2 linked regions of the Oryzias latipes genome follow. The protein of the gene in region 1 interacts with the protein of each later gene in a pairwise test. Links are inferred from orthologs where the notes say so. Each region holds a gene or a part of one and is shown on either strand. Other genes may lie near its edges.

What was found.
Region 2: the proteins of wdr4 (region 1) and rabggtb interact in binary tests that used the Homo sapiens proteins (3 or more experiments, as listed by UniProt). The two-hybrid records come from large-scale screens. The link is inferred for Oryzias latipes from reciprocal best matches to the Homo sapiens genes WDR4 and RABGGTB.

What each region holds. Positions count from the first base shown.
Region 1 is NC_019879.2:31,098,061-31,102,438, forward strand, and holds the start of wdr4 (tRNA (guanine-N(7)-)-methyltransferase non-catalytic subunit WDR4), read right to left. Parts: upstream 3,049-4,378; 5' UTR 2,939-3,048; coding exon 2,908-2,938; intron 2,833-2,907; exon of another isoform or gene 2,826-2,832; coding exon 2,621-2,825; intron 2,199-2,620; coding exon 2,130-2,198; intron 1,387-2,129; coding exon 1,255-1,386; intron 1,174-1,254; coding exon 1,017-1,173; intron 811-1,016; coding exon 698-810; intron 1-697. Other genes in the region: fibrous sheath CABYR-binding protein, read left to right, coding at 3,171-3,215, 4,295-4,378. UniProt on the Homo sapiens protein: Non-catalytic component of the METTL1-WDR4 methyltransferase complex required for the formation of N(7)-methylguanine in a subset of RNA species, such as tRNAs, mRNAs and microRNAs (miRNAs).
Region 2 is NC_019875.2:3,791,590-3,794,729, reverse strand, and holds the end of rabggtb (geranylgeranyl transferase type-2 subunit beta), read right to left. Parts: coding exon 3,135-3,140; intron 3,050-3,134; coding exon 2,939-3,049; intron 2,705-2,938; coding exon 2,579-2,704; intron 1,446-2,578; coding exon 1,296-1,445; intron 1,220-1,295; coding exon 1,079-1,219; 3' UTR 519-1,078; downstream 1-518. UniProt on the Homo sapiens protein: Catalyzes the transfer of a geranylgeranyl moiety from geranylgeranyl diphosphate to both cysteines of Rab proteins with the C-terminal sequence -XXCC, -XCXC and -CCXX, such as RAB1A, RAB3A, RAB5A and RAB7A.

The sequences.
Region 1 (4,378 bases):
CGTTGAGCTCCAATAAAATGGGATTTTTGTTCAGATCTGAGTAGAATAATAGTAATGTTTTAGCTTGTTTCGGTAAATCCCTTTGTTTAGAAAATGTTCCAGATCAGACTGGACATTATATATTATTAACATTATTAAGACAGAGCTGACTTTAATGGGGGGGGGTCCTAATTTCTTCACATGACTAGCAAAGTTAACAAAAGTCTTTTCAAGTTTCTTTGTGGAGAAAGTAGACGGAGAGAAAACAGAAGAAAATCGTTCAAGCCTTCAAAATAAAAGAAATCTGGATTTAGCAGAACAGAAGCGTTTTATTTTAGAACGACGGTTGTTCTCACGCTAAAGCCACGTTTAGAACATGTGGCGCTGAATCTCTACTGTTCCGAGGATGCTGATGGTACAGTTGGAAACTCCATGGATTCGGGTTCGTTATGGCTTCTGGTTTTCAGCTTCCCCCTTAACTGTTAAGGGGGTAGTTAAGGGGGAATGGATGTATTTTAATGGGTCCTACATGAAGTCTAGAGAACAAGGAAGTTGAATCCGGCTGCAGACATCAGATCCACCGACGGCTCCCTTTAACGTGGATGAGTGCAGGTTCTGGTTCTGCTTGGCAGACCTAAGTTCTGCCCCTGTGACCCGCCTCTGAGGACAGAGGTGGACTTGGGAGGACCGGGCCGGTGTTCCGGGCTCAGACACTCACTGTCGATGGCCGAGGCAGAAGGCCTGGATGTTGTAGGGGGATCTCCGGTGGCTCACCCTGATCTTCTCGTCGCGGTCGGCTGTGATGATGAACCTGTCGTCTGGAGAAATGACCTGGAGGGGGGCACACAGAGGGAGGGGCAGGTCAGGGTCCCGGCCCCTCAGGTGGATGTTCTCATCAGAGCAGAGGGTTCCTCGGGGTTCTGGTTCTCCTCAGCTCAGCTTATGCTTCATGATCTTCAGCGTTTACCTTCCGTGACGCCGGCGCTCTCTACAGAACGGTTGCTGTTAAACCTGCCGTCATGAGTGTAGCGTCCTACCACAGCCAGCAGCATGGACAGGTGACCCAGCTTCAGCTCGCCGTCCCTCTGCGCCTCCACCACCGAGAAGCTGTAGACGTCTCCAGACTTGTCGGCCAGCAGCAGCTCGTCTTCCGCCCGGCTGAAGGTCAGCGCGGTGCACCTCCTGACCACCCACCTGCCCCGCAGAGGCAGAAGCTGCTGTTGCACCGGGTCCGGACATGACGCGGCGCTCAGTGGCCACGCAGGTGAAGCTCACCTGGTGCTGATGCATCTCCACGAGGGCTCACAGCCAAACAGGACCAGCCTCTTCGTGTCATCAGTCAGCGCCAACAACTTTCCAGATGCAGATGTGGCGACGGCGAGCACCTCGTCGTTTCCCGTTTCCTCGCTGAAAAGATAAGACTTAAGGCCTGTTCACACCGGGGGGAATTTCGCCGGCGATTTTCGCCGACGTTTAACGCCTCGTGACTAAACAAAGGGCACCAATGAGAGTGTGCACACCGACGCGAAAAAACGCCATGCGCCAAAGCGTCAAAAAAAAAACGCCTCGGGTTCGTTTTTTTTTCCGACGCGTCGCGTCTAAATCTATTGGACCAATGAGAATGGCGCTTTTGCACACGTGTCTGGAGCTTCTGAAGTTACAGTAAAACACAACTTGGGGGCGCTCAAACACAAAACTGCCTTGCTGAGCACACATACCAGCGAAGAAGATAGACGCCAAGTAGCGTCTACACTGCCGCGAAGAAATAATGACGGACATTCTTAAATATCCCCGAACCAAGCACCAGTTGGAGCTACTGGTGCTTGAAATATTCATGTTTTCTTTGTATGATTCTGACTAGCGCGTAAATACTTGCTCTCTTCTTCTGAGTGAAAAGCGACTTTAAGAATCGTAAAGTTGCGCAGCGCCACCTTGTGTACAGGAGTATTTCTGTTTACATTAAGCGCCATCTAATGTCAGGGAATGAAATTGCATGTTCGCTCGGCTCATCGTCAGCGAAAATCGCCTGGGTGTGAACACAAAAGACGTGGCGAAAAACGCCTGGCGAATATTCGTCCCGGTGTGTACGGGCCTTCAGAGGTTACCTGCATTTCCCATCAGCCTCTGCTCCTCCTGCTCCATGTTCTCACCTGGTGTCATCGCCCTTCGTCTGTTTCGGCTTCTTCTCAGCGAGGCTGCAGTCAAACACAAACGCCTCTCTGCAGGTCAAACAGGAAGTGCTTCAGCTGTGGTCGTTTCACAACCTTCAGGTGAGGAAAACGTCTGATCTGCTGGTGTGACAGAGGGCGTGGCCACTTGCTCGACCTTCACAGACCATCATCATCTTTATCAAGAGCCATAACGTCATCAGAAATTGCCCACAGTCTTCCTCATCATAGTCTTCATCAACAGCCCTGATCCCATCTCTTCTGCCTTCAACCATCTTAACGGACCTCAAACTCAAGTCCCACCTTCATCTCCACCCTCATGATCATCATCATCATCATAGGCTTCCTTTTCAATCATTTTACTATGGAGCCAACAGCTCGCACTAGTTTTGTTTGCATCACGTGACTGAAGAGCCCAACTACCAGGAGGAGCACGCGGTGGTCCTTGATGCAGCGGCACGCGCGGCTCTCACCTGTCCTCCTTCGTGTGAACCGCCACGAGCTTCGTGCCACAGCTGGTCACGAGCCAGTCTCCACAGAAGCCCAGGGTCCTCATGTTTCCGCGCCGTCTGTGCACCGAAAGACAGACACGCGCGCAGTCGCCTATAAATGACGTCACGTTTCCTCCAGTCTCTTCTTCGTGTGTTTTCTGCCCCAGAGGACGAGCAGAGAAATAAACTGAAGACAGTCAGATACAGAAACATTTCATCGTTTTTCCGGAACCAAACAGATTATGTGGGAAAATTCTAACAAGCCGAACCTCTATGTCGATGTTTTACTTTTCCAAACATGATGTTCTCGCGAAGGCTTCGGCTGTGGGAGGGGCCGGGGGCGTGGCGTGAAATCCGTATAATCTCATTGGCCCAATCCTGGAGCTGTCCCTACTCTGATTGGCGGGAGGTCGAGCACATATTTTGGGTTACATCACAGGTGACGCTCGGCTCTCCTGGACCGTGAGGTACGGTTCGGTTCGGTTCGTGCTCCTCTGCGCTCGTGCTGCTTGTCCGTGGCTGCAGCAGAAAGATGGCGGCTGCTCTGCTGAGGACGGGACGCCTGTTCCGGACGAGAGTAAGTCCGAATCCGAGAGGATTCTGGGTCATTCAAGCCCTGGTTCTGCAGGTTCTGATCTTTAGAGCTGTGCAAAAGGATATCGACACCAGCAGTTCTGTTTGCATTAGTCATTCGGAACCGTTTCACATTTGTTTGGACCTGTTCATGTACAACATTTTGGACCTGTGCTCAAAACGGGCTGGAAAAAACACATTATTCATGTTTGTTTTTTATTTGCATAATATTATTTTACATTATTTGAAGAAACTGAAAACACAAGGTCCATTTACTCAATGAAAATCTTCTTTTAGCCAAATTCCATAGACATAAATGTAAATATAGCCACATGAAACCGTCTTTCTCTACTTTCATTTGTGACGTTAAAAACACAGCAAACCTCTCAGGAATTCAGACTCTAAACTTTCCTCCTTTTTCATTATGTTTTCATCCACTCAGATGGAATCATCATTTTATTCGCTGTGTTCTTCTGACGATACGTACAGATGTTTGGTTAATAAAGTTTATTTGTAGAAAAACATCTTTTGAACTGAGCAGCGAGTTCTGCATAAATCAGATTATTTTGGACCTTCTAGTCAGAGGTGTTCTGCTAAATGGACCGACACCATAAAGCAGGAGGAAGTGTGTCCGGACCCGTTAGACCTGTGACACCGACAGCCCCCTGCAGCTGTCCGGATGCGTCCTGGAGCGCTGGCATTTCTGGAACCAGGAATTCCAGAGTGGAAATAGACAGAAGACTGAGCTCCTGAAGTTCTGAGTTTAGGACCGACAAACATCTGCCGCCCCGGTTTGGACCTGCACACCGGTTGAGATTGTAATGTCCTCCTGCAAACAGGTTCTTCAAACACATGGAGGTGAACTGGCCAAAGACCGGTTCTGAGATGTTCTGCAGCCTCACATAACCCTGAGTTCTCCTCCTCCTCCCTGTGAAGCTGCCAGTGTCTGTCTTCAGTCTGAATGGAGTGAGGCTCTCCATCGGAGCGCACCTCCTCCTCTAACCTCGCTTTAACTCCACACAGATCCGTCCCGGTTCTGTTGGGTCCTGGGAGAACTTCACTGAAGTTGGTTTCTGTCTTTAGTGTTTGCAGGCCGAGAGCTGTACTGGTCTGGGTAGAACGTCTGCAGCCTTCAGCACCAAATCTGGAGGCTCCAACAAGTCGACC
Region 2 (3,140 bases), on another chromosome or scaffold:
GTTTTGTTTTTTTCTAATAACTCAAAAGATTTATGGGGTAAAAAACTCTTTCAAATTAAATGAATAATCTCTTCATAAAAATAGAACTTATGGAATTTAGATTCCTGAAACTGTCCTTGAAGAGTGAATCTCTTCCTAAATGTCAATGATTCATGATGGCTGAGTTTCCCAAAACAAAATAATTATAATTAGGAGGATAAAACACACAAAAACATCATTACTTAGGTTTGAAGGGTTTTCACTGGTCATTGATTTGCTGAAGGTCAAAGTTGAAAATATTTAAAGTGTTTTAACACAGAGCATAAACTTATTGAGGCTGTAATTGAGCATTTGTCTTATTCATCAAATTTGAATTCAAGTTTTGAAAAGCTCTTATTAGATTTAGAAAATCTTACTGATAAAACATGTTTTCTTTTCCTTGTATTAAGTAGAATCGTTTTAGCCTGAATGTGACGGCAGAGAGGAGACGGTTGAAAACTTCCCCACACAAGATAAAGAGCAGAAAGTGACCGAGCACAGAGTTTCCTGGAGCTTCGTTCAGACGCTCACAGAGTGACACATTTTAATAAATATAGTGGCTGGAAGTGTGGAGAAGACATTCAAGGTGGCATCAAAACGGAGCCTTCTGAGGCCGGCCGACACTCTCTGAAGCTGAGTGACATGAAACAGTCTTTGCAGCTTTGAAGCCCATGAACACAGCTGCAGGAGCATGAAGGCAGAAACATGAGACAACAGAGAGAGGCAGTCTCAGCTTCTAAAACATCAAAAATGATAGATTTGTCGCCCTCTCCTGAAACGTTTCCTCACTAAATGTATCAGGGGTTTTTCCACAGCAACATGTCAGATGGTCAGCAGTTGTTACGGAGATAAAAGGACAAAAACAGGACAGAAATGAGACAAGAGATGTTCCAGGACTGATCCAGTGGAGAGCTTCAGGAATGTTGAATGACGGAAACTTTCCTCGTTTGTTCAATGAATGAACTCAACTCTGGCTGAGAAACGTGCTTCTGTCTCTGCTTCCATTGTCCAGGCGTGGAGGTCGGAGGAGCATCACGTACACATGCCGAGCATCTGGAGGCTAGCTGAGGAGGTCCGGCTGCAGGCCGATCCTCTGTAACACGTCCTCTGGCATGCACAACACCGGATTTACCGCTTTGACCTGTTCCTCGCCCAGGAGGGAGAGTCCAGCCACCCCGAACAGAGTATGGAAAGGGTCCACCTTCAAAAAAACAGAACCACGGAGGTCCAGACATGTCGGATAGCTTCTTCTTCTTCTTATGTGTGTGATAGCTCACCATGTCTCCTGGTCTGTCAGCAAAACCTCCCGTCTCCTCATCCTGACAGGCCAGAATAAACTGGCGTAGTCTGGACTTGTCGATCCAGTGGATCCTACCGATGATTTTCAGAGATGCCAAAACCCACCAGGAGTAGCAGACATCTGGAAGCTGCAAAGACAGATGGCTTTGAGACCAGGAGTGCAAAACATTCACAGCTTCAGCCGTCTGCCAGTAGTACATAAAAGAAAAAGAAAAAAACGGCGAGCAAACTTGATGTTTGGCCTTAAAGCGGCAAAAGGCCTTCATCTCTTTCCTCCACAGAATGCGAGTGTTTGAGGAATCTCTGTTCTTCTTCTCTGTCTTCCACTCAAACCACAACATCACAAAATTCAGGATCTCACAGCTATTTCAGTGATTATTGCAGCACAAAAATCCTGAAGCCGCCGCTAGTTTTTGCCTTCAAAGTTGTGATCAAAGTTGCTACACTTTTCAAACTAAAGGGATGGCACACAAATTCTAAAGCTGTTTTATTTTCCAAGGGCAGCTTTATGCACCGTCACAGGAAATGCTCCACACTGATGAAAGTCCTTCTTCATCAGGGATTTCTTTACAATGATATCTTTTTTTGTCCTTGTTTGTTCAAGAGTGTTTGTCAAACCTGAACAATGGAATAACAGCAGCATGCTTAGCAAACTTCACACAAAAACATTATCTTTTCGTTAAAACGTTACATTTTAACTAAAGAATAAAAAGCTGACTCAGTGATGCTTTGAAAACCTTTTCCTTTCTGTCCGATAACATTAAATGTGCTCATTTCACCCCCAAAACCTGGACTCTAGATTTCTTTAAACCCACACACAGTAAATTGTGAAATTTTGATGGTGAAACTTGTTCAAAATGAGAGCAGCTGGACCGAGTCGGAGGCAGTTGATCGGAAGACCCGGAAAATTCTGGAGGGGCTGATATTTGAAGCCAACCCAGAAATGTTGTTACAGCAAGTACCACATGTTCTGTTTCTTTCTCACTTAATTCATAGGAACCCATGGAACCCATGGTGACATCAGTGTCACAGACAAACAGCAGAAACGTGTTCTGTGATCCACCACACTTCACTTTCCTTTTTAGGGAAAAAGGGGAATGACAGGAAATGTGTACACAAACACATTTTTCAGAACGCCGGCAGGTTTCTGAGGGCTGGTCCTCATGGGAAAAAGAGTTCAATGATCTTCTTCAACAGCACTAAGGTTTGGTTCACGAGGAAACTAAAAAGATTTGTGATTTCATGTTAGAAGCTGTCAAACCTTCTCAGGCCTTCCGTTGAGGCCTCCAGACGGCAGCTGGCGTTCGCAGAGCCACCAGCCCAGCAGGTCTGCGTTCAGCTGGTGCAGCTGGCCGGTGAGAGACAAGAACCCGGTGCAGCAGTAGATCTGAGACCAGAACCAGAACAGGTTTAGACTTTTGAAACACAACTGAGGCTTGAAGAGAAACACATAACAGTCCAGCATGAAAACTTTTCCTCCTGAGAACGCCTCCGCTTCTTAATCAGACCTCTGAGTTATGACGTGAGGTGGTGGAAGAAGGCCTGATTTGGTATTTTATTTGGACTAAAAAGTGAGGCTTTGCTTATTATTTCATAGAGAAATGACTCTTTAGTTCCTCACCTGCCCAGCGTGAGACTCTGAACCAGGTCTGCAGCCAAAACCGCCGTCAAAGTTCATGCAGGATAAGACGAACTCCACAGCTCTGTCAACATTTATCATCTCCATCTTTCCCTTCAAAGAACAGCATTAGTGTGAAAGGCAGTTTAGAGATTGGTGGGCTTTGGGATGAAAAACTGTGAACAAATAAAAAACATACCAGTAA